5 linked regions of the Ovis aries genome follow. The protein of the gene in region 5 interacts with the protein of the main gene of each other region in a biochemical or structural test. Links are inferred from orthologs where the notes say so. Each region holds a gene or a part of one and is shown on either strand. Other genes may lie near its edges. The genes, in order: NR0B1, HDAC3, TRIM24, NCOA4 and PPARG.

What was found.
Region 1: the proteins of PPARG (region 5) and NR0B1 form a complex in vitro, tested with the Homo sapiens proteins (2 studies listed by BioGRID, with this or other methods). The link is inferred for Ovis aries from reciprocal best matches to the Homo sapiens genes PPARG and NR0B1.
Region 2: the proteins of PPARG (region 5) and HDAC3 form a complex in vitro, tested with the Homo sapiens proteins (3 studies listed by BioGRID, with this or other methods). The link is inferred for Ovis aries from reciprocal best matches to the Homo sapiens genes PPARG and HDAC3.
Region 3: the proteins of PPARG (region 5) and TRIM24 interact in a test that uses a peptide from one of them, tested with the Homo sapiens proteins (2 studies listed by BioGRID). The link is inferred for Ovis aries from reciprocal best matches to the Homo sapiens genes PPARG and TRIM24.
Region 4: the proteins of PPARG (region 5) and NCOA4 form a complex in vitro, tested with the Homo sapiens proteins (2 studies listed by BioGRID, with this or other methods). The link is inferred for Ovis aries from reciprocal best matches to the Homo sapiens genes PPARG and NCOA4.

Annotation. Positions count from the first base shown.
Region 1 is NC_056080.1:29,501,606-29,508,362, forward strand, and holds the start of NR0B1 (nuclear receptor subfamily 0 group B member 1), read right to left. Parts: upstream 4,563-6,757; 5' UTR 4,536-4,562; coding exon 3,365-4,535; intron 1-3,364. UniProt on the Homo sapiens protein: Nuclear receptor that lacks a DNA-binding domain and acts as a corepressor that inhibits the transcriptional activity of other nuclear receptors through heterodimeric interactions.
Region 2 is NC_056058.1:50,375,116-50,381,353, forward strand, and holds part of HDAC3 (histone deacetylase 3), read right to left. Parts: intron 6,055-6,238; coding exon 5,974-6,054; intron 5,594-5,973; coding exon 5,520-5,593; intron 5,364-5,519; coding exon 5,299-5,363; intron 3,918-5,298; coding exon 3,828-3,917; intron 3,702-3,827; coding exon 3,643-3,701; intron 3,378-3,642; coding exon 3,298-3,377; intron 2,992-3,297; coding exon 2,834-2,991; intron 1-2,833. UniProt on the Homo sapiens protein: Histone deacetylase that catalyzes the deacetylation of lysine residues on the N-terminal part of the core histones (H2A, H2B, H3 and H4), and some other non-histone substrates.
Region 3 is NC_056057.1:103,689,325-103,695,562, forward strand, and holds part of TRIM24 (transcription intermediary factor 1-alpha), read left to right. Parts: intron 1-2,032; coding exon 2,033-2,301; intron 2,302-6,238. UniProt on the Homo sapiens protein: Transcriptional coactivator that interacts with numerous nuclear receptors and coactivators and modulates the transcription of target genes.
Region 4 is NC_056078.1:43,007,380-43,012,907, forward strand, and holds part of NCOA4 (nuclear receptor coactivator 4), read right to left. Parts: exon of another isoform or gene 5,352-5,528; coding exon 5,243-5,351; exon of another isoform or gene 4,690-5,242; coding exon 4,600-4,689; exon of another isoform or gene 4,066-4,599; coding exon 3,922-4,065; exon of another isoform or gene 2,952-3,921; coding exon 1,932-2,951; exon of another isoform or gene 1,489-1,931; coding exon 1,330-1,488; 3' UTR 1,006-1,329; coding exon of another isoform or gene 1,000-1,005; 3' UTR 1-999. UniProt on the Homo sapiens protein: Cargo receptor for the autophagic turnover of the iron-binding ferritin complex, playing a central role in iron homeostasis. Acts as an adapter for delivery of ferritin to lysosomes and autophagic degradation of ferritin, a process named ferritinophagy.
Region 5 is NC_056072.1:56,683,562-56,690,323, reverse strand, and holds the start of PPARG (peroxisome proliferator-activated receptor gamma), read left to right. Parts: upstream 1-3,120; coding exon 3,121-3,340; intron 3,341-5,083; coding exon 5,084-5,253; intron 5,254-6,762. UniProt on the Homo sapiens protein: Nuclear receptor that binds peroxisome proliferators such as hypolipidemic drugs and fatty acids.

The sequences.
Region 1 (6,757 bases), on a different chromosome or scaffold from region 5:
TGCATATTTAACTCAGTAGGACCGTTAAATATAGTTTAATGAATAGCACTGCTCCAGTTCACTCTCTATGCACTTACAAAGACATTAAAATTATTTCAAGAAGTGTGCATCTTATGTTTTACCTGTAGGAAATGGGCCTTAGTATAAAGGTGAGAAGTTTTGCCAGCTAATATTTGACCATCCTCCCTTGAATTTCCCACCACTGTAATGATTACAGTGCATGGTGGTGGACTTCACAGCTGTCAACTGTGACTGACAGTCTCATTTTAATTATTTGCCTGCAGGCTGATTTTAGTCTGGAGTCCCACAATAATTTAAGAGTTAATACTGGCCACTTAGTTCATCGTACCATGACTTCTGTATTGGGGAAGGTTTTTAAAAAAGTGATTCCAGGGACTTCCCTGGTGTTCCAGTGATTAAGACTTTGCCTTTCAGTGCAGGGGTTTGCGGGTGTGCTCCCCTGGCTGGGGAGCTAAGATCTCACATGCCTCCTGGCCAAAAAACAAAAACAGAAAACAGAAACAGTATTGTAACAAGTTCAATAAAGACTTTAAAAATGGTCCACATCAAAAAAATCTTTTAAAAATGGAGTCTAATGAGCATTCCAAAAGGCTCTTTAAAAAACATTTTAAAGTAAGCAGTCTTTAAAGGGTTAAAGAGTAAGCATGAAAACATCATTGATTGCAACATGGTGCAAAAGTAACTTTTCAAATACAACCTGAGACCCAAGTAAAAGAGAATGAAATACAATACAGGGAAGATTAAATGCCTGTTAAGTTTTATAAAGAGGGTGGTAAGAGGAGGCTGCTTTTAAAAGTCCTTTGATCCTACACAATGGTGATATTACTGGACTATTACTGTAAACTCTCTAACTTGTATTTAAGTACCAATTTACCATTCAGTTTAAATGGTGTTGATTATTGTAATCATTTTCCTTCCGATTTTCTATGAATCCAATAGAAAAGTATTTTAAAAGCATCATGCTCATTGTCAGAGTAACAGAACCAGCCAGTGTTCTTTTAGAAAAAATACTGGCAATAGGCAAGTTATTTCTATTATAGGCAAGTATCAAATCTGATCGATGAGAACAAAAATAGCACAACATCTATAATCCATATTCCTATTCTGATTACCCCAGTCCATGCATTACCATCCCCTACTACCTACAGTTCATTATCCAGGCTTGAGACCCAATTTTACTGCACTGGGATTCCATTCACGTTGTTTTGTTGTTTAGTTGCTAAGTCATGTCCGACTCTCTTGCAACCCCGTGGACTGTAGCCCACTGGGTTCCTCTAGCTTCAGAAGAAGCTTGCATGAAACCACCAAAGGGTGGTGGTTGGAAGCTCCACCAGGTCTAAATTCATGGTTTATTAAAACTTCATCTTGTGAACTCTACTCTTCTCTGCTTTCATACCACACTCCTCTTTCTCCATCCTCCTCTAAAAGTGCCCTCCCCCCTCGACCCTGCCCCCACTGCCCCACCAAGACCTGCCTTGAAATTAATTTGAGGAAAGAGAAAGGCAGATTGATGGATTCCATGGGAGGGGGGAGGGACATTTTTAAACATAAAGATCAGGGGATACAAAATGATAAACACCAAAGAAAGGCCACACACTTAGCAGGCAGTACTTTTTCCCAGATAAAGTATATTTGTATTTAAAGCATACCCAACTTGGGTGGATTAGACTCCTTTGAGAGAGAATTCAGAAAAGCAGGGGAAGAGTAAGGGATGCAAAACAGGGTGGAGGAAAAGGTAAGCCAGTGGGATGTAAACTTCTAAAAGCTTAGGGCTTGTCTTACCTTTTTATTCCAGCAGAACAAAGCACATGGTAGATGTCTAATAAAATGCCTGAAGGAGCAAGAAAACAGTCTTCCCAACGATCTTAAGAACCACGTGAGAATGCATTACTATGGATGCACATTTGCAAACCTTGGACCAGAGCTACTGAATCAGAACTTCCAGAGGAAGAACCTGGAAAGATTTTGGATGACCCCCACCCCCAAGAGCACAGGCAAGTTTGGAAAACTGGTATAAGCAAAAGGTAAACTATAATGATCACTGGGATAAGCTGAGGTCTCTAAGTCCTGAAACGTGAGGTCTGAATTATCATCCCATTAAATACTGTTCTTGACCACTGCAAACATGCTAGGTAGGAAGCAAGGACATAACCCCAAGGGCATGACAGCAAGACGCCTGGTGTCAGGATAAAGGATGTAGTGGGAGCATGGTGAAAGCTATCTGAAAATTTCCTGCCCACCCACGACCCTCTTGGAAGGATGCTGGTCCAAGATGACTCCAGTAGTAGGACACACTCGAGACAAAGTGCTGGGCTGTCCAGGGAGATGTTCTTGGATGATTTGGTTGTGCTTAGCAGGGCAGTGTTCAGCACCCAACAGGCACCCTGAAAGTGTGGGGCAGTGGACATCCCCTTGGGCCCAGGAGACTCACGTGCCACAACTCAGTGGCCATTTACTTTGGAGTAAGGTCGCTTGCAACTAGACTACCTTATCTGCCAAAGGGATGGAGGAAGAGGGAGAGGCCCAGGGGGTTGACAAGGTCTCTAGGATATCTAAGAGAAAGAGATGGCAACCCCCTCCAGTATTCTGGCCTGGGAAATCCCATGGACAGAGGAGCCTGGCAGGTTGCAAGAGTCCGAATGACTTAGTGACTAACCAGCCACAAGGTATCTAAAGGCTCTAAAACAGCGCTCCTGCTTGCAGTCCTGAACATGTCTTTTTCCTATCCCTTTGCTAACCTGTCACATTTAGACGATGAGATAGTTCAACTACTTAGGACCATTAAAATGACCACTCAGAGGCAGACCCACGAAACACCGAGTCCAGTGTTCTTCCTGCCAGTACCCCCCAGGGGATGGATGGTCTCTCTACGGATCCTTAACAAATGTTTCTTTTCTTGCCAGCCTTAACAGCCTTCGGCCGACAAAAAAAGCCTCTGGTAAATTTCAGAGTTGAGTTTCACAAACAGACGTTGCAGAATTTGCAGCGAACCCAAACTTTATTTTCTTTTTTAAAAGTACGCTAGTGGATTTAGAAGATTTGACAAGGAATATAGCCAAGTTCCCCAAGCCACAAACTTTTCTGTGGTAACAAAAAGATGTGAGAGATCAAGTACAAACCTTAGCAAACAGCCCCCCTCCTCCTCCTCTCGGCGGGGTTTCTGAAGCCACCACTCCCTGCCCCTCACGAGGAATGGGTTTCCGGAACTCCCCTATCTCTGCTGAGTTAGCCAGGATTCCTCACTTGTGCACCCTCAAACTCCTCTAACTGAAAACTCTTCGAGTGTCTGCGCCCCGGGGTCGGTACTGCGGAGAAAAGCCAGAGCCGAGGCCGGCGCCCTTACCCGGGTTGAAGAGTACGGTCCCCTTGAGGTAGGCGTACTCCTTGGTAGTTATATCCAGGCTCCGGCACTTGGCAAGGAAGCCCTTGATAGTTTGGACCTCGGCGGCCGAGGGCAAATACTCGGCCTCCAGCGGCAAGACCGAGTGCGGCAGCAGTGGGGGTTGGGGCGGCGGCTCGTTGCCCGCGGTCTCCCGCCGCCTGGTGGCGAGGATGCTCTGCAGCAGGCTGGGCTCAGAGGTCTCCACCGTCTCAAAGTTCAGGCGGTCCTGGGCCAGCTCCAGCATGAGCAGCGGCGCCCAGCAGCTGCGCAACAGCACTAGCTGCTGGTCCAGGGGGAGCACCTGGAAGCAGGGCAAGTACTTGACGAAACGCAGCGTCTTCAACAGCCCCGCCGACGCGGCCTCGCAGACCACCTGTGGGCTCTTGAGGGTCACCCGCCGCCGCACGCCGCGCGCGGGGTCCCACCAGGGGGTCCCCGGCGGTACCTCTCTAGCCAAGTCCGTCGGCTTGGCGCCCGAGGGCACGTGGCAGGGGAGGCTGCCCAGCCGCGGGTGGTCTTCACCGCAAAAGCAGCAGAGGCACGGGAGCGCACCCGCCTGCCCGCCCCGCAGTTCCTCTCGGCCCCCTAGCCTCCGCGCGCTGTAAGAGCGGTCCCACCATGCGCCCCCCGGCTGCGCCTCGGAAGCTTCAGGCGCCACGTGCGTCTGCTTGGCGCTGGTGAGCAAGCTGTACAGAATGCTGCCCTGCCGCGGGTGGTCTTCCCCGCAGAAGCAGCAGCGGTACAGGAGCACCGTGGTCCGCACACCCGTCAGCCCCTCTCTGCCCGCCGGGGGCTCAGAGCCACAGGAGCAGCCCCAGCACGCGGCCCCCAGTCCTTCCTCGGGCGCCTCCGGAGTCTCCTGCGCTTGCTTGGCGTTCATGAGCAGGTTGTAGAGGATGCTGCCCTGCCGCGGGTGGTCTTCCCCGCAAAAGCAGCAGCGGTACAGGAGCACCGTGGCCGGCGCACCGGTCAGTCCCTCTCTGCCCACCGGGGGCTCAGAGCCACAGGAGCAGCCCCAGCACGCGGCCCCCACCCGTGCCTTGGGCGGCTCCGGGGTCGCTTGCACTTGCTTGGCGCTCATGAGCATGTTGTACAGGATGCTGCCCTGCCACTGGTGGTCCTCGCCCGCCATGGCCCGCGGTGCCCGCAGCCTGGCTCTGTCCAGTGGCCGCCGCCTGCGATCTATTTATACTGAGCGCGCACGCACGCGCATCGGCCGTCTCCGCCCGGGCAAAGGCGCGGAGCGGGGCGCGGTGCTGGGTGTGTTCGCTTGTGACCTCGGCGGTTCAGAGGGGACAGATGCACCTCACAGGCTAAAAATGGAAGAGGAGAGGAGGCGTGGGCGCTCCTGGACACTTCCCCCCTTCGTCTCACTACACGCTTCCCCGCCTCTGGAAGACAGCTGAGCGCAGGGAGCAGGTATTGGGGGCACGCTTCCAACTCTCCATTGAACTCTGGCGTCTCATTGACTCCCTTTACTGGGAGGGCAGGGTTATCAAAAAGGGCAAAAATCTATTTCCATGCCTTCTTTGCAAACTTACATTAAATGACCAAACTTTGCATGACTTACATTTTGTTTATGGATAGGGAGGTCTTATTTTCAGGGACTTGGAAAAATACAGACCATGGACCAGTAGTATCAGCGTCATAGGAGAACTTGGTAGAAATGCCCAATCTCAGGCCCCAACCAGACTGTCTGACTCTGAATGTGCATTTTAACAAGATTCTCAAAGGATTTGTGGGCCTGTTAAATTCTGAAAAAGCACTGGTCTAAGAATGCTATCATAAGCTTCTTGTTCAATTCAAGTAATATTCATGAGCTCCCACTCAGTCGTAGCTGTTGTGTTAGCTGGGGACCACGTGACCAGGGTATAAAAGTGGCTAATATTCTGGAATATAATAATCAAAAGGGGCTAAAAAGTTGCTACAGAGAGAACTTTGAGTTCTTCTAGTGATATTGGGTAGATGTGCGATGCACATTTCTCCTCCCACCTTTTCTGAGCAAATAATGAGAAACACAGGAAGCCTGGATCCTTTGGTCCTCACTTGCCATTGGCCTCTGCTCGAGCTCCTTAGAGGCAATGGGATGTGCAGCCCCACATCACCACCTGCCCCCTGATTGCTTCACCAGCCATCTGGTTAACTTGAAATCACAATCTCTTAGTCCTCAAATTCCTTATCACTGAAATGGGAAGTTTGTTTAGTGATCTCTTGGGTCCATGACTGAAAACATGAAGCAAGGGGACAGGTGAATATTGGATCCCATGTTTCTCTCTCTGTGTCTGTCTCTCTCTCTGTGTGTGTGTTTGGTTGGTTGGTTGGTTTTAGTTTCTCTGAGATGTGGAATTCTGAGCATAAGAGGAAAAGCTCGGGGACACTGATTTTGCATTCAACCTGAAATTTTATTCTGCCTGTGAGCAGCCATATAACACAGTGCTTAAATCTTCACACTGGCACCAGATAGCCTTGATTTTAACTCTGGCCCTGCCACTCTGAAGCTCTGGTGGCCTTGGGTGATGTATTAGTTTCCTACTGCTGCTGAAACAAATTACCACCAATTTAGTTGACTTAAGGCAATTTCCCTGGTGGCTCAGATGGTAAAGAATCTGCCTGCAATGTAGGAGACCTGGGTTTGATCCCTGGGTTGGGAAGATCCCCTGGAGAAGGGAAAGGCTACCCACTCCAGTATTCTGGCCTGGAGAATTCCATGGACTATAGTCCATGGAGTAGCAAAGAGTCAGACACAACTGAATGACTTTCACTTCACTTCTTTAGGGTTAAGAGGTAATACCATCCCAGTGCCATCCTTATTCTCTCTGTCCCAGGGAAGCCCACCCTTACCCTGAACCCTGAGATTATCTCCTTTTCTGCCTGTCCACATTTCTTGGCCCAGATTCAAAACACTGGGTGGATCACCTGGTCCACCACAATAACATATATTGGAAATATTAGCTCATCACGTGTTTCCAATATTCAGGTTACTGTTTGGGGTATTGTTACTGCTGTTTCAGGGATCTTCCTGCCTGGCGAATGTGCCAACCAGCCTCTCTGAATAACCCAGCCTGCTTCCGTCCCCTCCTTACATTACCAATGCTAGTTACTTTTTATGGTGTTCTATTTTATTTTCTTCCTAATGGTGATCAAAATTGGATGTGATTGATTGATTTAGTTATTTGATGCTTGTTGATTGCCTCCCTCAACTAGTATGAAGCTCCCTTGAGGGAAAGGAGTCAGCCACACTGTATCCCAGCAACTAGAATGTCTGGCAGACAGTAGGTGCTTGAAATTATATGTGTTGGCCAACTGTATCTTGAGAGAACAAGGAGAAGGCTGCAGCTCCTATTCTCAACACAG
Region 2 (6,238 bases), on a different chromosome or scaffold from region 5:
GAAGTTGGGGGACAAAATCAGGAAAGGCTCCCTCTGCCTGGAGAGCAAAGTCTCAGTTACCTCCAAGTGTGCAAGGGTTAAAGGTGAGGAACCAGAGACTCAGGTTTGAATCTCAGCCCTGGTATTTAACTAGCTGTAAGAACTTCGGAAAGCTACTTAACCTCTCTGAACCTTAGATTCCTCTTCTGTTAATTTAAGAATAGCACCTCTCAGGGTTGTCGGATGGCAAGAGAATGATGACATGATGGCATTGTATCATGTATAATTTAATATAAATATCATATCCTATATAGCTGATATGCTACAAGTATCAACGACAAGGAAGTCAGTGGGTAGTCCAACAGTAACAGGGCTTAAGACAGGAAGAGGCCAGAGGCTTCTGCTGGCTGTTGAGAACAAGCTGTATAATGCAGAGACAAGGCCCAGATACCAGCCTGAAATCACAGATGAAAAAAACAAACTTTTCCAAAAGGAAGAAACTGAAAAACAAATTTTTAAGATCAATTTCCAAAAGTCAAACCTCAAAGAACTGGAGAAGCTGAGATGGAGATGAGGGGTCAAAAAGGATCCCTGAGGCCAGATGTTCAGATACATCCTCAACCAAGAGAGGAAATGAAGGGGTACACATGGAGGAGGAGGGGTGGAGTGGTCCCAAGAGTCTAAGCTGTAAAGCCCAGGTCCAGCAGAGAGATCTGGAAGTGTGAACTATTAAGACAGAGAGAAAATTCTGGAAAGGACTGAGAAGCTCATCAGACTCTGCAGCAGAGTCAATTCAGACTTCTTAACAGTGTGTGGGAGCAGGACCAGGTGTCCTGCAAACATCCAGCTGTGGTTATCCCCAGTCACATAAGGAAATCTGTTCTCTATTAAATACATCTGTTTCTGCACTTCTGGGTTCTCTTGTCTTTTTCCTTTTTTCCAGAAAAGCTTGTTTCAGCTTTTGTGGTTTTTTTAAAGTCTATTCTGGTTGTTTTTTCCTCTAATTCAGTGCATCTGTAAATATTTTAATAGGTATCTCAGGAAGGTAAAGATATTTAAAAAGACACACATACACACAATACAACTATCACACCTGAAAAAATTAAGAGAGGAAAGAAATCTACGGGCCTTACAACAGCAGTATATGTGCAGTGACCTGTCCAGCTTGGAATCTGGAAGGAGTCAGTAAAATGCTGGCAAGAATATAAACTGTTATAGACTGTCTGAAAGGCAATTTGGCAACAAATAAAAAAAACTTTACTGCACACAGCCTTTGACCTAGCAACAACAAGTCCAGTAACCCATTCAAGCACTCAAAGATGTATATTTACAGGGATTCACTGCTACACTCTTTGTAACAGTGAAAAAAAACAGGAAATAATGAAAATGCCTGTCAACAGCACTTGGTTAAATTATGCTATGTCCATACAATGGAATATCATACAACTAATTAAATAATGAAGCAAAATAATAATAATGAAGCAGATTTTTATATATATTGGCACAGAAAGATACACTGGTTAAAAAAAAAACTTGGAAATTGTAGAACATGTACAGAATGATCCAACTTTTAGTAAAAAAAAAACAAAACTGCACAACACTGAAAATGAGTGTATGTGTGCCCTTGTGTTTATACATAAATATTGAACAGCACAATTGTAATCTACAGAAACTGGAACATGGACTTAGAACTGGACACGGAACATGAAACTTAGAACTGGACATGGAACAACAGACTGGTTCCAACTCAGGAAAGGAGTACATCAAGGCTGTATATTGTTACCCTGCTTATTTTACTTATCTGCAGAGTACATCGTGAGAAACACTGGGCTGGATGAAGCACAAGCTGGAATCAAGATTGCCAGGAGAAGAATCAATAACTTCAGACATGCAGATGACTCCACCCTGATGGCAGAAAGTGAAGAAGAACTAAAGAGCCTCTTGATGAAAGTGAAAGAGGAGAGTGAAAAAGTTGGCTTAAAGCTCAACATTCAGAAAACGAAGATCATGGCATCCAGGCCCATCACTTCATGGCAAATACATGGGGAAACAGTGGAAACAATGACAGACTTTTTTTGAGGGGGCTCCAAAATCACTTCAGATGGTGACTGTAGCCATGAAATTAAAAGACGCTTACTCCTTGGAAGAAAAGTTATGACCAACATAGACAGCATATTAAAAAGCAGAAACATTATTTTGTCAACAAAGGTCCGTCTAGTCAAGGCTACGGTTTTTCCAGTAGTCATGTATGGATGTGAGAGTTGGACTATAAAGAAAGCTGAGTGCAGAAGAATTGATACTTTTGAACTGTGGTGTTGGAGAAGAGTCTTGAGAGTCCCTTGGACTGCAAGGAGATCCAACCAGTCCATCCTAAAGGAAATCAGTCCTGAATATTCATTGGAAGGACTGATGTTGAAGCTGAAACTCCAATACTTTGGCCAACTGATGTGAAGAGCTGACTCATTCGAAAAGACCCTGATGCTGGGAAGGACTGAAGGCTAGAGGAGAAGGGGATGACAGAGGATGAGATGGTTGGATGGCATCACCGACTCAATGGACATGAGTTTGAGTAAACTCCGGGAGTTGGTGATGGACAGGGAGGCCTGGTGTGCTGCAGTCCATAGGGTCACAAAGAGTCAGACACAACTGAGCGACTGAACTGAACTGAAAAGTTTTACAATAAATGTATGTCACTTACATCATTAAATCGGGGGGAAAAAAAAGTATGGGATGGTTGTATACTGAAGAAGGTACACTGAGGACAATTAGACTAATGCTGTCTAACTTACTTTTTCCCTCTTAACTTCCCCCAAAACTTGCTGGAATTCCCTGCTCTTATGACCCTGCTCCAGACCTGCTGTAGTTTTCCTCAGGACCCCTCTCCTCCGCATCAGCCTCATCAGTCCTATCGTAGGTTAGGAGGTCTGCCGGCACATCGTGAATCTGGACGCTAGGTGCATGATTCAGCATCTTCAGGTTTTCAAAGATTGTCTGGCGGATCTGGTCCAGATACTGGTTGGGGATGAGGAATAGACAATGAGCAGCTCCCAGTGACTCCCAGGATGTCAATGCTTGTAGCTGCCTTTTGTCCCTGCAGTCCTAGTTTCAGTCCCATTTTGCATCTTAGTTTGAATCCCCCAGCTGGTAACTGTCCCTCCTCCCAACCCTGACTGCCTGTGCTTTCACCGGGGCTGCCTCCTAGCTGATAACAGAGATAGTGATGGCTGAGACTCTCTTCCCTGGTTTCTCTGATTTCCCACATCCTGGACCTTTCCTGGGCTCCTCCACCCTTGTGCTCAGCTTCTCCAAGCTGCTGACCTGGCGTGAATTCTGATTCTCGATGCGGGTGCTGACATCCGGATGGAGCGTGAAGTCCGGGGCAAAGTACTCGAAGTATTCTTGGGGAAAAAGGAGGAGACATGATGGCTCAAATAGACACAGGCAGGTCCCAAGAGTTGCCTATCTTTTTCCTTTCCATCCAAAACCCCTACATAACATCTGCTCAACCTTTTCCCCTCTCTAGGCCCAGGGGTTTAGTTTGCAGAACTCTGATAAAGTCAAACTTCCCATCCACTTTCAAACCAGGCCATTCTATGGTCTTGTGAGAATGGCCTTCTTGCTGTGGGGGCATGGTCCCCCTTGCATGTGTGGGATGGTCCTTACCGCTATAGGGAAGCTCTTCACTAATGGCCTCTTCTACCAGCAGTGATGTCTCATATGTCCTGAAACAAACCAGCAGAGCAAGGCAGGCTGAGTGAGTGGGGTGAAAGGTCCACTGGCCATCTCTCAGGGAGAGCCCCTAGCTCACACTGTACAAGGGAGAGGAGGAAAAATGGGGGCATGCTCACCAGCAGCGGGCAACATTCCGGACAGTGTAGCCACCACCACCTAGCACCAGTAGAGGGATATTGAAGCTCTTGACATATTCAACACATTCCCTGTTAAAAGAAACCAGAGGAATGGGTGGAGGAAGTTACCAAAAGCCAGAGAACACACTTCTAGAGGCCAACTGGAAAGAGGCACAAGGAAACTAGAAATGTTCTGTATCTTGACCTTGGTAGTGAAAATCATTGAGTTATATCTCTGAGATATGTGCACTTTATTGCCGGCACGTTGCGTCTCAGTGAAATTTAAAACAAAGTGCACTCTCACCTCTGTCCTGCTTAGCACCCACCCTAGCAACCCACCTGTTAATCAACTAGTCTCACCAATGTACCAGCAAGTGCTGTCAGTTTAGCCACCAAAATATAACTCACATCACCTACCTCTCTCTACCGCCACCTCCTCCAACTTAGCCTCCTATCTGAGACAACACCAAGAGCTCCCTAACTAGTCTTCCCACTTCCACTCCTGTGTGCCCAGCCCCACCCCAAACCTTTCTCCATTCAGCCCTCAGAGCAGTTGGTTTTTTTTCGGCGGTGCCACAAGGCATGTGAGATCTTACTTCCCCAACCAGGGACCAAGCCCATGCCTCCTGCAGAGGAAGTGCAGAGTCCTAACCACTGAACTGACAGGGAAGTCTTGAGCAGTCACTTTAAAATTCAAGCCCAGAAAAAATAAAATAAAATAAAATAAAATAAAATAAAATTCAAGCTGGATCATGTCACTTCCCTGCTTAAAACCTGTCAACAGTTTCCCAACACATCTGAAATATAATTCAGACTCCTTAGCAAGGTCTAAAGGCTCTGCATGACCCGAATGCTGCCGACTTCTCAGACATCACCTCAAACCACCTCCAGCCTGCTCTCTGTGTTCCACCTGACTGGTTTTACTTCATCTCCTCCACGATACCCCTCTGCCCTGTCTCAGCGTGTCTGCATGCACTCTTCTCACCGCTTGGGATGGACCTCTCTCTGTTCTTCTTATGGCTCACTCCTTTTAGGCTTCAGGTCTCAGCTCAGAATTTTGGAAAATTCTTTCCAAATCATGGTATCTAAAGTAGTTTCTCCACTGTTATCCCATATCTTAGCTTTCTATCTTTTTCTTCCATAGAATTTATAACAATCTACCTATCTTGTTTGCTTACTTATAGTTTTGCCTGTTTCCTAGGCTGAACTGTAAACTCCATGGGAGTTCCCTGACTGCTTCCCCATCTCCTAGTACAATGCCTGGAACACAACAGGTGCTTAACAAAAACCTAATGTGAATGTTGCCAACTGGGGAACACTGCTCAAGATGACATTTCTGGTTCAAAGTACAACATGCAGCTACTTTTCAGTCCCAAAAGGAGGTGAGGGCTGTTTCCCAGCTACCCGTTCCATGTATTGAAGCCCAAGGCCACTTGAAAACCTGGAAGAGTGGAAGGAGAGCAGTTCTCACCCGTGTCCTCGAATGCTGAGGTTGAAGCAGCCCAATCGATCACAGCCCAGAGAGTCAGCTCCACACTGCAAAAATCAAAACCCCAGGTGGCTACAGTGAGAGAACTACTCAGAATGTCACCGATGTCCTTCACTTCCCTTCCCCCACCAGCCTAGGGATTCTCCTCTTTCCTGCTCTCTTCCCGTAAGCCTGAGTGCCTAAGGAAGCACGGACAGTATTACCTGGAGCACAATGCACGTGGGTTGGTAGAAGTCCACCACCTGGTTGATAACTGGCTGGAAAAGGTGCTTGTAACCTGGGAGAGGGCCAAAGATGGGCACCTGGCACCCCAAGGGGATGGGGAGACAGGGAACAAAAGGAAAAAGGGGGTTCAGAGAGCGTGTAGCCCAGGAAAGGGGCAACCCAAAGGGACCACTATTGGTTCCAAACTTCTAGGTGGGGAAGTTCATGAGACTTCTGGAGGGACTGATGGAAGCTAATGACCTTTTTCCCAGAAAAATGCACATACACACAATATGTTGCATACAATTTCCAGGGAGTTCATGGTCCCTCTGAAGGCCATTCATCCTGAAGGACACCTGGCCCAACGGTAGACAATACCAGGCAGAAGAGGTTAACTCAAGGAGGGAGAGAGAGAAGGAGCCTAGTGAGCAGGGAGAAGACTTTAGTACGTACTCTGGTCATCAATGCCGTCCCGCAGGGGTACGTTGAGGCAGTAGTAGCGGCCACTCTCTGCTCCAACTTCATACATGTCACCTGTGGGGGAGAGGGGTTGGGGGCGCCAGCTGCTTCAACCCCACCATGTACTCTGAGGGCCTCTCACTCCATCTGTGTATGTCCGCCACACACTCCCTCAAACCACTAAGTCTCTTGCAGCTTGCATTCATTCAACAGATACTCCTGGAGGGCCTACTATGAGCCAAGCTGTGAACTAGGTATG
Region 3 (6,238 bases), on a different chromosome or scaffold from region 5:
TAAATAATTTTTAACCTCCTAATTGAAGTGTATCATGCATATAGATAACTGCCCAAATTTGAAGTACTAGAGTTATCAAAAAGGGGGAATTTCAGTATCATTTGGTAACATCACATATCCCTGCAGGCAGTCCTTGTTACATTATGTACTAGTAAAAAAAATCTTCAATTTTTGCCTCCTTTCTTAATTTCTCACAGGGAAATTATAGAAACAAAAATAAGAATTTCATATACATTCTTCATTAACCACCTTTTGGCAGTTTTGGGGCTTATTGACTTTGTTTCAAAATCATCAAATAGGGTTGCTCTCTCATTCTCTAAGCTAGATTCTGGGTAAGAAAGAACTGGCTGGAAGGAGAGCCAGTGCTCTCAGAACACTCCAAGAAGGGAAGAAATAGGCTTACATAAATCTCATCCATATGTGAGAACAGTAAGAATGGTAATGTGACCCTTTGAAGAAATGATAAGGTGACTCCTCAGCACAGTTTAGAAGTACGTATTTATTGATTGATAAACATAGCCAGCAGCTGGTATCATACATATTCTCATCTATATAACTAAAAAGAAGCATCTTAATACAAAGCATGTATATAACTATCTCTTACCCTACTCTACCCTCCACCACATATATAGCTATACAGAGAATCTATCACAGCTTTATATCCACAGTAACAGTCATGTTGACTTATATGTACTTATAAGCATATCACTTAAAACATAGTCCACATGATGTAGACATAGGTAAAATTAAGAAAATATGTAACTGTACGCACATAAGTGAATATAGTTTAGGTAAATCTGAATCAGCAAAAACAAAAACACCTCCTGTTTGTGAGGAATTTGTAAGACAGTATCCTTTACTGTAGGACTTTTCAGAGGTGTCATATATAGCTCTATAAATTGTCGTTTAAAGTGAGATTGACGTTTTAAATCTTCTAAGAAGGATACAACTTTCCCAAACTTGTTTATTTATGGCTTCTGAGAAACATGTTACAGAAGAGTGCAAGGGAAAAGTAGTGTCTTGGACGCATATTCAGTTTAGTGTCTTTGTGACTTTGGATAAGTTGTTTGGCCTCTCTGAACCTTAGATCCCTTATCTGTACGAAGGATTTTAACAATATACATAGATCTCCTATCATGGTACCTAATGTGGAGTAAGTATTTAATGAATGATAACCATATCTTTAAGGATGCATATGCTTAGTAAATCAGGAACTTTTAACTGAGTCTCTGCTATTGAAGAAATCAAGCTTTGCCCTACTCTTGGACCAGACCTGTGAGAGGTACCTTTAATCTCTTTTTTAACAGTGTAGTTATAAAGCATGGTGTTCGCCATCAGAGAACTAACACAATTTGCGCCATGAAGGTGTAAAGAACTAGCTGTTGTTGTCATTCAATTGCTACATCATAGAGAGATAACTGAGTCAGTAATACTCTGTGGTATTGTTCTCACATCCAGTGAGAACAGTCAGGTTTGCGTGTTTTGTTTTGATTATACAATAGCAGTTCTCACAGTGTAGTCTGAAGCTTCTTCAGGTGATAAAAGGTCTCCCTTTTCCAAGTACATACCCATATGTGGCTGGGTTTTCTGCATGTATTTCTATTTAAACAATATATTAGATAATGCAGAAACAGTTACCGCTATTAAGCCAGACATTTTAAAGAACTGTTTGAAAATGTAAAATAGTGCCATTCTTCACTAAACTTTTTTGAAAATAAAAATAAGGTTTTGTGTGTGTGTGTGTGTGTTTTTTCCATAAAAATATGTTACTCTTGGTTGTCACTTTTAAATGAATTAGTATGGAAAAATGTTTTTTAATTCTCATTTCTAATTTTGAATAAGGTAGATTTTGTTTGATAGACCCTACATAAACAGAAACTCTTCGGAGTTTCTATCTTTAAGCGTGTAAAGGGTTCCTAAGACAAAAAGAAGTTCCTTGGAAATCCTGAAAATGAGCAAAGATAGCCTTTTACAAAATATGGTATGTTACTATCAGAAAATCTTCAGAACTTAACTTTTTCTCTTTGATTAGGTTCTTTAGTAATTGAAGATAAAGAGAGTCAACCACAAATGCCTAAGCAGAATCCTGTCGTGGAACAGAATTCACAGCCACCAGGTGGTTTATCTTCAAACCAGTTATCCAAGTTTCCAACCCAGATCAGCCTAGCTCAGTTACGACTCCAGCATATGCAGCAACAGGTAATGGCTCAGAGGCAACAGGTGCAACGGAGGCCAGCACCTGTGGGTTTACCAAACCCTAGAATGCAGGGGCCCATCCAGCAACCTTCCATCTCTCACCAGGTAAATTTGGAAGCAGGCCTGTCCTAACTTAGATAATTATAGTACAGTTGTATTCAGCAGCTCCTAAAATAACCAAGGTGTCCTTCCTCCATGATTTAAATATATGAATTTATAAAAATTTGTCTCATCAAGGGTCCCTAATTTAACTCTAGTTCTTAGCCCTTCTGGAAAAGAAATTAATGGTTTATTCAGCTGGGACATCTATTCTCATCTGCTTTTTGTCATCTTTGTAACAGAGGATAAATGATTGCATTCCTGAATAACCCATGCATATGATTGGTGGGAAAGTTGTGTACCTGTAACTCAGAATTGTTACATTAGTGCTTCAGGATGACTGATGCTTCAGGTATCTGTCCTCTATGAAGATGCAGCATTTAGAAAACCCACTGCATCTAGAAACTAGGACAGAATGAAATAGAAAAGGGAAAGGGTGTGGTTTGTTAGAAGTCTGCCTTTTTCAAACTTTATTTCTGAGCAAATGTTCCAGGCACCATTCTTTTTTTTTTTTTTTTTTCAGTGTTGTCATCTTTTTATTTGTATTATTTCTTAATTCATAACAAAGATTTCAGTCACTGGTGGAGAAATGGGAAAAGCATGTGTTTATTTTCTACTTATCTCTCTAAAGGGTTTGAAGAACATACGCATGTAAATTCTACTTGTGATGTAGAGTGGGTGGAGGAGTCTAGACATGTGTTCATATAGTCATAAACTCAACAGTACTAACAATACAGTAACAACTTCAGAGCATGAATCAAAATCATGATCCTGTGGATTAATTACCGTGCATTAGTTAAGAACAAACAGTTGCAATATTAGTATACATTTCTGCTGTTGTTATAGAAGAAGCTTCTATCCACTCCATTTAGAGCAAGTCTCTTTTTATCCCCCCATGCACCATTCTTATTTTAATGCACAAAAATTGTCTCTTTTTTCAGTTCCTTTTATTTATTAATTTATACTCCCTATTTCTCAGAATTTGAACTGATTTACAGTAAGTGACTCAAATGAAATGGCACAGGGATTAATAAGTATTAGTAATGTTCAAAGCATGCAGAACTAGACTAAGAATTCTCATGCTTGAGAACAGGACTTAGCTCAGTTTTTGATCAACCAAACAAAGAATCAGGAATAATATCTATTACTTGATTAAAAGGAAACATATCATTAGAGAAATTTTTTACCAGTGTTTTTTTAGCACTAAGAGGAATGCATACATAATGCAGTTCTTTTATGAAAAAGCAATTAAATGGCATAATAGCATGTTTTGGTAGTGGTTATACAAGACTCTTCATAGGAGACTTGCTTCAACCCTGAATAAGACTTATGGGCCTGTGTGAATCCTGATTTTGTTAAATTGCTTCTGTGTAGGCCTGAGGTGATTTTATTTGTGATTTATGGCTGTCTGGTAATTTGATTAAGAAGATATGTCAAATCCAAGAGAATATTAATTAGTATGACCAGTTGATTATTGCTCTCGAACTTTGTTTTAACCCAGGTTTTTAAAGGAAGTAAATAGCAAGCAATTTAAGAGGTCTTTGTTTGATGAGTGTTCTGTGAGAAAAGATGTATACACTTTCGATCCCAGGAGTGCCACTGGCAGAGTTGAAATTTTGTTAAGAATATGGAGGAATTCTTTTGTCACTCCCCACCCAGACTGCAGAGTAACATATTGCAGATAGACTGCAGAGCACCCAAATTGTTTTGGACATATATTTGATGAGGAAAAGAGAGAAAATACTTACTGAGTGACTAGTGCTAAGCATTTACATGATTAATATTTATCTTAAGTATTTGAAAGATGGTAAAGTGATTTTTATTACTTTACTAACCTGAAGCAGGATAAATCCATCATTTGCATTAATTCCCTTTTCATTGAAAAGTGAGGAACTGAGGCAGTTAATAGATTCTGTGTGACTCAGTCACATTCTCAGAAACAGCTGTTTATAGAAGCAGTAACCAAACAGAAGTAACCTTGATAGAGCCTTTAGCCTGCTTATCTCAGAAATTTATATTTGATCTTATTATTTCTTTCTGTGGTGTACTGCTGTATGATATATATATATGTATATATATAAATAATGTACAATCTTTGTTATACAGCCTAATTTTCCCACTTACCGACACATTTGACCCTTGAACAATTAATTCAGGGGTTAGAAGCACTGACCCTCCATATAGTTGAAAATCCACATATGACTTATAGTCAGCCACCCCCCGCCACCCACCATGGCTCCTCCACATCCACTGCTCTGCATCTGAGGATTCAACTAAACACAGATTGTGCAGTACTGAAGTATTCACCATTGAGAAAAATCCTTGTCTAAGTGGACCTGCAGTCTAAACCCATGTTAGAATATCAACTGTAATTTTCTCATCTTTATGTCATTACTTCGCACACTGCTCTTTTTCTGTCTCCTCTCAGTGACCCCTGAACCCTCTTCTAGTACTCTCATCTCTCATTTTTATCTTCTCTCTACCAAATATCTGCTCCTACATTTTTCACTCAACAGTGTTTTCCCTCTTCTTTAAACTTTTGCACTGCCCTGCTTACCTGCTTTCTTAGTTCTCTAGCAGTTTATTTGCATGTACATCTGGTAAAATATCTGTCTGTAGATAGGTGTATATGTGTGCCTCTTTGTCGTACTCTACCTGTAGCCTGAAGATACAGGTCAATTTAAACGCCTGCTCTAAAAATCGCTTACACAGTAGTTCCCTGTTTCTTCTTTCTCTGAAAGTAGCCATGTAATCTGAATGATTAAAGAGCTGGGTGATACACAGATAGACTACATAGTTACATGACTGTGTGGTACAAACTAATAAACACTCTGCATCTCTTTATTGAGTGGTATACAATATACTCTGTCGTACTGCAGTGGACAGCTCGAAGTTTGTTAAATCTAAGTCTGTTATTGTATACTTTATGGTTCTCACTCCTGGGCCAGATTTACTGTTCTGCAGAGATACTCTCATTTATATGTATATATTAATTTTCCTAAACAGTGAGTGGATGTTAGAAGGACATCTGCTATCCTTCATGGTTATACTGACCTAGAATAAAATTACCACCTATAATAAAGTATTTACAGTGAGGGTAAGGATAATGATGAATATATGTCTCTTTACTTAAGCTCTCAATTATTTCTCTATTCTCTCCCTTTTTTCCTTCTTGCAAGTTAATTCCATTTAATTAAAATAGCATTGGTTTTGCTATTTCTCTTATGTTCATAAATAGTTTCTAGTCCTGTTCTTTCAAGTTACTTTTCCTGTCATGGGGTTCTTAGAAATTAACTCAGTCAACAATAACAGTTTAGGAGAGGAGATAAAAATCAATCACCTTAGATCTTTCTACACTAGGATTCCTTGATGGGCGAGTGAACATCCAGTTCCACACTGATTTCTTACAGGAGTATAGTACACTGGCATCAAATGTCACTTCGTTTTTTTCTTTTTTCCCTGAATGTCGTTTCTTGACTGAATCAATATATAAATTCCAGTCAGGGCAGGAGTAGGCGAAAGTTTTGACTGCCTTTGTTCTCCCTTAAGGATCATTTTGAGTGTTTTTCCACTTTTTAAAAAATAGTCTTTTGGATGAATTTAGAAGTTTTCCACTATACTTCCCCAATTACTTTTTGTTTGTGTTTCTGTGATATAAAACCCTTCCAGTGAAAAACTTTAATAGAAGAACCAAAAAGAATTGCTATGGCTTCAGGCTTCTGTGAAATTTTGGCATTTTCTCTTTTTCTCATATTTTTCTATTCATCCACAGAATTTCCTTTGATCTAGAAATAGTGTCTAAGTCTACTTTTCATGAGGTCTGTAATTGCTGGTCACTCTTGTAAGTTACTAAGTGTGAACCCAGTGCCAGCTAATTTGCAGGAGAGGAGAAACAGAAGACCTTTTCCCAGGAAAGGAGATAAATTCCAAAAATGAGAGAAAG
Region 4 (5,528 bases), on a different chromosome or scaffold from region 5:
GTGTTCAAAACTTCCTATTCACTAAAATGTCACTGCATTACACTTTTATTAGAGGTATAGGTATGCTATGCTTGCAGTGAGCGGACGTTTAATTTATGCCTAGTTAAAAGCACCAGGTGTCAAGTTCAGCTTCCATTTACACAGGATGCACCAATAACACTTAGGATAGTGAACAGTTCAAGTACATTTCCAACATAGTTTGCTTTTTGATTAGTCAGCACTGGGGCTCTGCTGCCTGTAGTTCTTCAGAATATTTTGGAAGAGACGAGAACTACTCTGAACATAGTCTTCAAGCAGTATGGAGCCCTTCCGAAAGAGAAGTTCTTTCACAATAACATTTAGAGAAGGAAATACAGACAGATCTTGCAAAATCTGAATGTCTTTCCAAAGAAGAAATGTAGAATCTGGCACCTAAGCTAAAATGTTTTGTAATAAATGTCAAAAATTGCCAAGACTTTCAATATGTGTTTTGGTAAGAAAAAACCACTATATTGGCAAGGTTAATGATGTAAAATGCAATAGAATATTAATTAAATAGAAAATTCACCATTAATGGAAGAAAACCCAGGATAAGGGAAGCATCCAAAGACTGCCAATTGAAAGGTAATTTTACTAGCTTTAGAATACATCAACACACTTTGATTATAGAACTATTTCATTTTCAAAACTACAGTGTTTTAATGTACTTCTAATAACCACCCAATCTAAGGAGCCATGGAGGCTTATGAGAAAGACCTACCCACCAAGATGCATTTCTAGCATAGGGGTGAATTAATACTTCTGTAAGAAAGAACCTGAATCACCTCAGCATCAACAAATCACCTTTTTCTTTTCCACAGTAATTCATAATTTGATGACTAATTTCTCTTCACTAGTTCGAGACTGGGGAGGAAAGGAACTACATCAGACCCAGAGACAATGATTTCGCAAGCCACAGTCACTCAGCTCATGGATTTGTGATAATCTGCAGAAAATTTGATTGACTAGTACTCGATTCCTTCACATCTGTAAAAAAAAGTCCACATAAAAAGTCACTTCACTGTAAGATTAAAAGCAAATGTCTTCCCACTTTAAAGCTCTCATTTCTCAATAAGCTATTAGAAACCACACAGGCTCCAAAAATTCTGACAGCTACATCATCTGGAAAGGTTACTTTCAAGTATGTCCCAGTTATTTCATGGAGCAAGTTCAAGTGAAACACGAAGTTTCTATGATCTCTCTTTTCCCACCTCACCTAATACACAAACCACTAACAGAAATACACTTTGGTGAGCAAACTGAATTCATACATAAGACAAGCCATAAGCAGCTAGAGCTGCAGCATTTGCACTAGCGGCATATACCGACCTGTAGAGGAGTTCGATACAACCACTGTTCTTTATCAACTTTGAGCTGCATACAGGCAAAGAGATCGCAAACTGCTGGGAGGCCGTACCGGTCCGGGGGAAAGCTGTGCTCCTCCTGTAGGGGTGAGCTGAGTAACACTTCCTGCAACAAGACAGAGGGTGGGTTGCTCCATGACAGCTGGGAGGCGTGATGCCAACAAGTCATCTTCCAGTCTAGTGTCTATAAAGAGTGATGCGAACGCTGGGCGTGCTAGTAACAGAGCAAAGTGACAACTATTTTCTCTGCTCCTAATTTTTCCGTAAACTGCAATAAAATAGGCCAGATGCGGATTTGGGGCATAGAAAATACAAGCTTCAGTATGAATAATCATTAAGTGTTCCATTCCGTTGCTAACATGGCCCCAAAATTAATACTTAAGCTGCATTTAACAGTTAAGATAGTTAAGGATCTGGTCCATTTATTTGCAAGGTTTGGGATTAAGAAAATGCAAAGTTTGGGATTAAGAAAATGCAAGGTTTGGGATTAAGAAAATAAAAATCTACTGAATATACTTCAAGTGGTGCTTTTTTAATGTCTTGGCTCACCTTGGCCTTCTTTCGAAGTAGCCACTTGTCCTCTCCTGAGGATAACTGGCTAAGATTTCCTGTCTTCTTTCCTGGCAAGACCCAGTCAGCTGTGTTAAAGGGACACCAGGCAGTGGCCAAGGGGCTTGTAGGCTTTTGTTTGCCAGCCCTGTCCTCAGTAAGAGGCACTTCCTTGTTGGGACATCCTTCTTTGTGTGAGGGGGTCATGAGCCACTCTGACAAGGGAGTGTCCCTTATGACTTGGAAGGAATCAGCAATTCTAGAAGCCCTTGCCTTGGGTGCCTTAGCTTGCTCTGCTGCCTCTCTTCTGGATGGAGAGAGCCACATGTCCAGGGAATCTTTACGTTTCTCAGGTCCAGGCTTTGGTTCCACAGGCATACCATTTTTATCCTTTCCTTCTTTCTTCAGAAGCCATTTACACAGAGCTTCCTTCTCACAATTTTCATCACATACACACTCTGCAAAACTTGTACAGGGCTCATTGGCTTTGCAGACCTCCTCTACTTTATATGGGTCTTGATGGTTCTGGACAAGCCAATCCTCAATAGTCAGGCTGGGAGTGGACAAGGGTTTCTTGGCCTCCAAGTGGTCGTTGAGGCATTTCAGACTGCCCAGGTTCTCAATCTCCACACCTTTGGGCTGGTTACCCTGACAACAGGTACAGGAATCGGACCTGACAAGCCAATCATTCACATTGTAGGACTCCTGGAACACCTGGAACAAGAGCTTAAACTTCTCACTGGTGGTTTCACAGCCGCCATTCTCGGGCTTCTCAAGCTTATGGGATTCCTGGGGAGTTACCAGCCAGTCAGAAAGATCCATCTCATCTTGATCAAGAGGCTCTGTATCTTCAACCACTTCGATTTCCACGGAGTAAGAACTGGCAGTAGAACAGCTGTTAGACCTTTGGTAGCTTGGTTTTTCAGAAACTTCTTGTTGCTGACTCTTGTGGAGCCAGTTTTCCAAACCCTTTAGGTTGCCCCAGACTTTATTCAAGAAACTGCAGGCTCTAGCAGACGTCTACACAAAAAATACACAATATTACTTTGCTAGAATATTATGACTGCCTTGAAATTCAATGATAAGAGTTCTACTTATATTTACCACACTACAAAATGTTTCTAAGTTTAAGTATACATAGCCAAAAGACATGGGATTTCTCTGAGATATTAAAATACATAATTATATTAAAACTTAAATTTTCTGCAGTTTAAAAAAAAAGGCAAACTAGGAGAAAGCATTTATAGCACATCTTGTAGAAAAGAGACAAGTAGTTTCTACATGTGCATTTATGAATAAAGACCAAAATGAGTCATAATATGATTAGAGAAGTCATCAAAGTTAGCTAATAAAAATGAAAAATACTCAATCTCCTTAGTAACCTAAGAAACTCAAAAAGTAAAATTATTCTTTTGTGTTAAATTCAGAGAAAAACTTGTAAATGACTGCCACTGTTAGAGATGTTTAGGGAAGAGGGTATATAAACTGGTATGGACTTTCTGGAAACCCAAACTGACAGTGTGTACTGAAAGCCTTAAAGGGTCTGCAGAACTATAGAATGCAATTTCTAAGAATTCATTCCTAAAGAACTAATCAAGAATGCATAGAAATGATTATCTCCTGGACACGCAAAAGAAATTTATTTATATTCAGAAAACCTGAAGTTTTAGCCCATCAATGAAATACTATATACTATGAGGGATTTTATGGAAGAAATTAAGTGACAGATATTCATGCACGTATATGTAGCATAAACGAAATGTTACAGTGGTAGTTTCTGCACGCGGGGTTATGAGCTTGTATTTCTTTATATAGTTTTTTCCTAAGCTTTTTCTCTACAGTGAAGAGGTTGTCACTATTGTAATAAAATGTTATCTTTAAAATATATGTTTCCCAGACTAGAACTAAAAACCAAAGACATGCTGTCAGTTAGTAACTAACCCCATCTATTACATCATCTATCTCAGAACCAACAGGGGCAGCAACACACCTGACTGTTCTCCACGGTCTGCTTCTGGCTGAGCCAGTCCTGGAGATTGGTGCTGGGCAGGTAAGGAGCCTGGTGACCGACGGCAGGTTTGCTTCCAAGGAGCCATTCACTGAGAGGGACAGCTGTGGCGCTGGATGCCGACTTCTGCTAATCACACAATACTTTGCTGCTTAACAAGGCAATGTCAAATGCAGCAGAAAGTTTGCCAGAAAAACAGGAGACCCAAGCTCTTTAATCTTGGCCCAGTGCTGACCCTGCACAAGTCAAATGATTCCCCTAAGCCTCCATTTTCACAATTACAAATCAAAGAGTACAGCTGGAAATCAGCTTCTCAACTCAAAACTTTTAGGATGCTATATTCACACTTCTCACACTGCCTTCAGAAGTAAATGATCAAGAGAAGGATCCCTAAGAGAACCAACCCAATCATAGAGCTAATGATAATTTCTTATGAACTAACTGATAACAATTACTTTCTTACAGAACATGTCTAAAACCTCTAAATTTCTGACATTCAGTCTCAAGGGAAGCGTTTAACTGTATAAACTCATTTATTACCATTTGTGCCTTTTTACAAATAAATGATAGCCAAAAAAAAAAAAAAAGTGATATAATCAAAACCCCAAAGAAATACAAGCCAAATAATACTCAGTTACCAGAAACAAAATGACATTTTACCTGCTCTGGCAATGGGATGTAGCCTCTCTTCTCCAAGAAGGACCCAATGCTTGATGAGCTAGCATGAGCCACCAGGTGCTCAGGAATTTGCTATAAGATAAAAAGCAAATCAGTTGTGTTTACTAATGTTATGCTTTCAGACCAAAAAAGTGAACTTGTAATCCCTAAATTCCAAAAGTACTAAGCAAAGTGTTACAGTTCACGAGAATAAATCTTCCTCACACTAGATTCAGTGACCTACGAAGTAGTTATAGAATCTGAGAATCCTCTATCTACCACATAACTACCTTCACAGAAGAAACCTTCACCAGAGCTGGTGGTACTACAACTACTAACAAGACCCAAATGAGACGACATCTGACTCTATACAGACCATTCAAGCCATAAATTTCCTAAGAAATAAGTCAAAGGTATTTAGAGGTACAAAGAGGAATTCCAGAGACAATCAACCAGTCAATAATACATTCCAAGCACTACCAGCCTAAGGCTCTATAAATGCAATCAGAATATTGAGTTTCTAAAGCTTACCAAATTCTCAAGAAAGTCCCTTTTCATAGTGACAATGTGCTATTTTTAAGACCATGTGACGGGCCACAGACCTGAGAAGCTCACTATGAACCTTCTGAGATGAACATTTACTTACAATGGTCTTGAGAGACCCAAATGTGGTGATTGCCTGGCGCAGGGCAGTTATGTCGGCTTCAAAGAATAAAGCAGTTGAATCTTCAGGTTTGAGGGTCAGACTGCCCAATCTGGAGAAAAAAGTAAACAAAATCTGGCTATTTTAAAGAAATATCTATTTCAAATTCATCCAAAATAAAAACCAAATTGTGAATTATTTGAAGTTTGGTTGAGTAACTCAACCAAAGATAGATGACTTAACCATGTACCACCAAGTATGATATTAAATATTTAAAGCAAGATGATAT
Region 5 (6,762 bases):
ATTAAGGGATGTGCCTAACACAGTGCGCTCCTGTCACCCGGCTGGAAGGTGAAGACACTGTTCTTACCCCTGAGAGGGGCTGCTGAGCATGCAAGTGGTTTGCTCATGTGTTCTCCCATGGGTAATTGCACCAGGTAACGAAAAACACCTACTCGCCTTACAGCTTGGCAGAAACGGTAGCTTATGTTTTCCAGAGACAAAATTAAAAGCAGGCTGCCTGGACCCATCTCTTAAGTCAAAATAAAATAAAACATCTAGGGAACCACTGTGCCTCCCAGCAACTGTGGCCGGTGGGGTACTATTGTTTAGGTCAAGGTGTCCCAGGTTGAGAGGACAGGGAGAGGGGAGGAAGGGAAGGGTCAGACACTTTTTCATAGAGCTGAAGAAGCAGACAGTTTTCTTTCTTTCTTTGTCCTTTCTGTATAGAAAAAAAAAAAAAAGTTTATAGGACCCTAATCTTTCTGTTGCAATTATCAGAAGAGAAAAACTGAGTATGCATTGTCGAGAGGAGGGGTACAGCTTAAACTCTATCTTATTTATGATACTGAAGGCTACATTTTTTTTTCTGGGGAGCTTCAGTCTTAGCAAAGCTAAACTGCAGAGAAAGTGTCTTTATTTTTTCCATTTTCCACAGAGAAATGAATACTTGTTCTGGCCTTCCTTATAAAATATGATCATTGAGTTGGCAAGCATTTAGTAAACAAGGTCTAAAGGGAAAACGGAATAATAAGACACTGTCCTTTGCTCCAAAAACTGGAAATCTAACAGTGGAGATATTTGTTTAAACAATTATACCAGAATGAAAGAGGTGTACTCAGTGCTGTGGGAACACGGAGAAGGGAGGATATTTTTTTAAGTTGGAGAATTCATGGAAGGTTTCATGGAGCAAGTAGCGTGTGGATCAGTGTGGGATTTTTCCCACTCCTGTGGGAAAGACAGACGGGCGTCATGACGTGTGATCGTGAGGAATGGGAGGAGTCCGAGGAGTCCCAGAGACAGCGTGAACGGAGATGAGCGGGGCAGAGTGTCTGCCCTGGGCGCACGGTGTGAGGCGCCCAAGCATGTGGCTGCTGAGGACGGGGGTGAGGTCCGGGAGCCCAAGTGGAAAACGGCACTGAAGAAGTCGGACTATCGGGGCGCTTGCATGACAGATGAAGACTTCTAAATTTATTGCACGTCGATCAGTGCTCCCCCTGCTTTTGCGGCAGATTGCCCTTAGGAGAAGAGGACAACAAAGTTAGCCATCTTGGGGAAGGAAGGGATGTATCGGTGGAGCACAAGGGGCGTTTAGGGCAAGGAAATGTAGGCTTCTCTGATGGTGAATCCGGGACGCCATACGTTCGTCAGAGCCATAGAATGGTCCACACAGAAGAGCGAACCCGAGGGTAAACTGGATTTTAGTTAGTGATGTATCACTGTTGGTTCATCAGTTTTGTAACAAGCAATACCACACTAACGCAAGGGTTAATAACAGGGGAAATGTCAATTATTAATAGGGGAAACTATGTGTTTCAGGGTTTGGTGGGGAGGGAGAAAGAGGAAGGAGTATAGGAGAACTTTCTGCTCAGTATTTAAGTAAACCTAGAGCTGCTTTTTAAAATAAAGTCTATTCTCTTGGGGACTTCCCTGGCAGTCCAGGGGTGAAGACTTCACCTTCCAATGCAGGGGGGCGTGAGTTCAATCCCCTGGTCTGAGAGGTAAGATCCCACATGCCTTGTGGCCAGAAAACCAAGACATGAAACAGAAGCAGTATTGTAACACATTCAATAGAGACTTAGAAAATGGTTCATATTAAAAAAAAAAAAAGCTTAAAAAAATACAGTCTGTTTTAAAAAAAATTAGTGTTCTTCTAGCTGTAGCTGAAATGTACTACAAGTATAAAGTTGTTTAGGAGTTTCAGAGTCATCTCTTTAAAATCAGATGAATTTTTCATTCTAGTTCTTTACACATAAATAGCTATTTTATCATTAAAATTTTCCACAAAGCTTTTCAATAAAACCAGTGACCCTTAGGGATATGATTCCTGTGTGGAGAAGCCTGATGTTGGTTGGCAGGCAGTCACTGAAGTCATATGTTAAAAGTGAAACAAAATGAAGCCAGTAAAATGATGAGCAAACAACTTTTCTTGCAACCCAGACATGTTTTCCATCCCTATTTTTATTTCCCAGTATTGATACAGCAGCATATTGCGCTGCCTTTAGCTTGGTCAACCTTTACTTTGGTGTTCAGAAGAACTTTGCAGTCAGCGTGCTGAGAAACCAGTCGATAAACCCACAATTGTGGATATTGCAAGAGAGACGAGAGAGGTGTCTTTTCATAGGAAAGCGATTTATTCTAAGAAAAATGGCTGGAGAAAAATAAAGGAAGCAGACTGAGGAGATAGGCAAAGTAAATGGTGTGTCCTGGGTTGAGTAGATTTAGGTGACGTTCAGAACAAAAGATACAGTTCGATGGATGCCCCGTCACTAAGAGCGCACACTGTTTCCTGGATGTCATTGAGACCCAGTGTGAGCTCCGAACTGTCAGCAGCGTAGGGCTTGTACCATAACACAGATAACCTCAGATGGTTTTCGTCCTTATTCATGCAGATATTCAGACGTGCAAACCCACACAGTGCCTGATGAGCCCTCTTGGAGCCACTGAAGCACATTCACAGCGCTCGTCTCCTTATTTGTGTTTTCGAGGCAATTTGTTTTTCTTATGAAGACCACAGCTAGAATCTTTAACCTCTTGCAAGAGTCAGCCTGTGAGAGCTGCATTCTTTAGCTCTCTGCTTGCTGGGAAAAAGCAAGAAGCCCATTCCCAGATACCCTTAGGAAAGTCATCCCACTGTAAGGAGAACAGGGCTGTCTGTAGGACGTTGGTATGGGTCCGCTGTACAAGCTGACACCACTGGAGGGTCCTCGACCATGACGTTCAGGTAATGGGTGACTTCCCTCAGTTAGTTCAGCAACCTGGACGGCACTAGGAGGGTGGTTGTGTTCACTTCTCTCCTCGTGATCACCTAGGTGACATCTTGACCGGAGACTCTTTCTGTATCCTTTCTGTGTGTCGTCACGAGACTGCCCAGTCCTCAGGACTGACGTCACAGCTGGCCTTTTCTCTGTTTCAGAAATTACCATGGTTGACACAGAGATGCCGTTTTGGCCCACCAACTTTGGGATCAGCTCCGTGGACCTTTCTATGATGGATGACCACTCCCATGCCTTTGATATCAAGCCCTTCACCACCGTTGACTTCTCCAGCATTTCCGCTCCGCACTACGAGGACATTCCGTTCCCAAGAGCTGACCCGATGGTTGCAGATTATAAGTATGACCTGAAGCTCCAAGAGTACCAAAGTATGTGGTTTATTTCACTTTTCAGACTGTTGAGACTAGAATTGGACTAATCTCTCGTCCACAGTAGGGTAAATGCTCCCAGGACTAATGGCTGTGGTGAAGACATTTACCATTCATTCATCCATCCACTTGTCCATGAAATACTAAGCGTTTATAACTGACCAAGGGCTTCCCAGGTGGCTCAGATGGTAAAGAATCCACCTGCAATGTAGAAAACCCGGATTCGATCCTTGATTTCCCTGGAGAAGGGAATGGCTACCTACTTACTCCCTTGTTCTTATCTGGAAAATTCCATGGACAGAGGAGCCTGGCAGGCTAAAGTTCTTGGGGAAAAGTGTCGGACTGACACTTTCACTTCCCAGGTGGCTCAGTGGTAAAGAATCTGCCTGCAGTGCAGGAGACGTGGGTCGGGAAGATCCCCTGGAGGAGGAAATGGCAACCCACTCCAGAATTCTTGCCGTGGAGAATCCCATGGACAGAGGAGCCTGGGGGGCTCAGTCCATGTGGTTGAAAAGAGGCATGGCTGTGACTGAGCTGACACACACATGTAAGTGACCAACAAGGCAGGTAGTGTGTGAACACCCTGGATCCTCCTTCCTTTTTCCTCCCTTCCCGCCTCTCTTTCTTTTCTTCTTTCCTTTTCAGGGACAGTCTCCAGCATGATCACCGTGCTAGCTGTATCTCAGGCTAAATATCCGTCCCCAACCCCCCAGATTTTGATTCATTGTTTCTACTTTTAAGCAGATAGGTAACAGTTTATTACCTCCTTTAACTTATTGCTAAATCACTGTTACTATAATGCACCTTTCCTAATTCTGCAGTTTGAACAGCTTACACTGAAACCTATTTTTCAGCACAAATTTGAATATTGACACTGTAGACTATTGATAAATCTCCGTGCCATTAATGCAGCTCACATCAAGAAAAACTAAAACTGCACTTTTCAAGATAAGATAAATTTCTGTGATGCTGTTTCCTTGATTTTTATCTCTTTGCTGATATGCTGGTTTTCCAGAGCAACCACTGTGTAATTGGCAGCCATTACTTGACAAGAAGTAAGAACTTCCTGTATTTCTAGTTTTTTTTTTTTAAGATAAATTATATACTTGGTTATAGTTACATGTGTGATTTCAGTTGAAGCTTAATATGGAAATTTAATAGGCTTGATCCTGACCAGCAGAAAGATAGTGCTTGCTTTCTAAAGTGTCTCTCTCTATCAAAGATCATTTCACAAACCATCTTTTCAGACTCAACATTGATGAGAACCTGGTCTCTTACTTTTCACGTACCCTCAAGCTGGGCATACCATGTCCTTCTCAGTTCTTTTTGTGTTTCCTTTGCAAGAGTGGTTTAAGAACACTTCTAAAAATGCAATATTCAAGCTGAAATATATAATTTAATATTGTCATGAATGCCAGATACAGCCCATAGAAAAATAACCTTCATGATTTCAAATATTATATATTTCCTGTGGGAACTTTAGTATCATGAGGTCTTGGAGGGTCATAGAACCACAGACTTAATTCCCTTCCCAGTTTGTTTTCACAGGTGAGGCTCGGAGGTGTTGTGGCTTGCATGTGATGACGAAGCCCACTTCTCCCTGTGTCTTTTTCATGTTCCATAGTGCATCTAACCTAAACAGTGAAATATGGGTAGGAAGGTGTGCTACAGCGACATGCCCTGTTGCCTGTTTAGCATTGTTATTCCCGTGATGATTGTCTGCTCATGCTTCTCTGTACACAGGTGCAATCAAAGTGGAGCCTGTATCCCCACCTTATTATTCTGAAAAGACTCAGCTGTACAGTAAGCCTCATGAAGAGCCTTCCAACTCCCTCATGGCCATTGAGTGCCGGGTCTGTGGGGATAAAGCATCAGGGTTCCACTATGGAGTTCATGCTTGTGAAGGATGCAAGGTAAAAAAAAAAAAAAAAAAAATCGTTTTTGAAAAAATTTGCTGAAAATGTACCTAGGTTTCCATTTCCTGTTGCAAACAGATGGCAAAGAATTGAGACAGAGCTGTCAAACTTTTAAATATCTTTGGTAAAACCCATTCTTTAGATGATATAATACTTGAAAACCTAAGAAAATCATAAAAAAGCAAGGCTACTGTGCCTCACTTCCTTTTTTCCAAATTAGTCCTGTGCAGTGCTGATCTAATTCCATCTTCGCATTTTGTAGATTACAAAAAAAAAGAAATTGCTGGTTCATAGTAACATGGCAGGAGAGTGATGGGCTGACCCTGAACAGAACCCAGATTTCCTGAATCTCCTAATGTTTTTTCTTTCCACTATACTATGTAATATTCTGTATATGTAGATAGATGGATAACCTTCATTTGAGCCTTACCACAGTCCTAAAGGTTGAACTTATTTATGGCCGCTTTGCAGGTGTAGAAATCTTGTGTCACTGAGATTTTCCTGTGGTCATCCATTGTAAGTGGCACATCCATACACCTTCTGACTCGTAAACTGATGCTGTGTGTTTCCTTATTCAGCATCAGTGTGAGCCATATGTTATGGTCAGGCAAAGAGATACAGCTATTTTTGAAAAGAGATACCCTTTCTCTTCCCCTCCTTTCTTTGTGAAAAAGGCTATTTTGGAAAGTTCACTTAGTATTCATTTAATATTCTGCCCTATTGAGAAAATGTTAATCTACTCATGTTTTAAAATGAAGTCTTTTAAAAGAATTAATTCTAATAGGCTCCTTGAATAAAATAGTAATTGACTAGTATTATATACTCTAGTGCTCAGAATAAATTTTTGATAAGTATTTACCTTATAAAATAATGCTGCTTATATAAGATCAGATTCAACCATCAGTAGGGCTTTTTGTTCAGAATGAAGATACATGACAGCAGTTAGGTAGGTTGGGAGATCTGCATTCCTAACTGGACCATGAGCCAAAAAAGGAAGTTAATATTTACTGAATTTCTGCTATACACCAGATACTGTGTAAGATGCCTTTGTATATATTATATTTTTAACCATATCCTGCCTAAGTTATCACATCTATAACATGATGGTATTGATTCAGATGATCACTAAAGCCTCTTCAATTCAAAAGTTTATTTTTCTAAAGGCAACCTAATAAAGTGAAAGAGACAAGTTAGTAATTACCTGGCCACTTGTCCATGGCCTCTAACCAATCACATGAGGATTTCAGCCTCAGTCACTCATGTATAAAACAATTTGGCTAGAGTAGCTCGCCAAAGGGTTTCTGATTCATCTCTGGGTCTGAAATTCCAAAATGACTCCTGGCAAGAGATGCTTTCATTTAAAACATGAAAACCCATTCATTCAGTGATTGAAACCAAGCTAAAATATCTGTAACCTTATAGGAAATCATTATGTTCTCAAGGAATAGTAAGAACCTGTTATTTTACTCAGTTAGATTTATGTAATTTTGAGGAAATTGTGGCTAA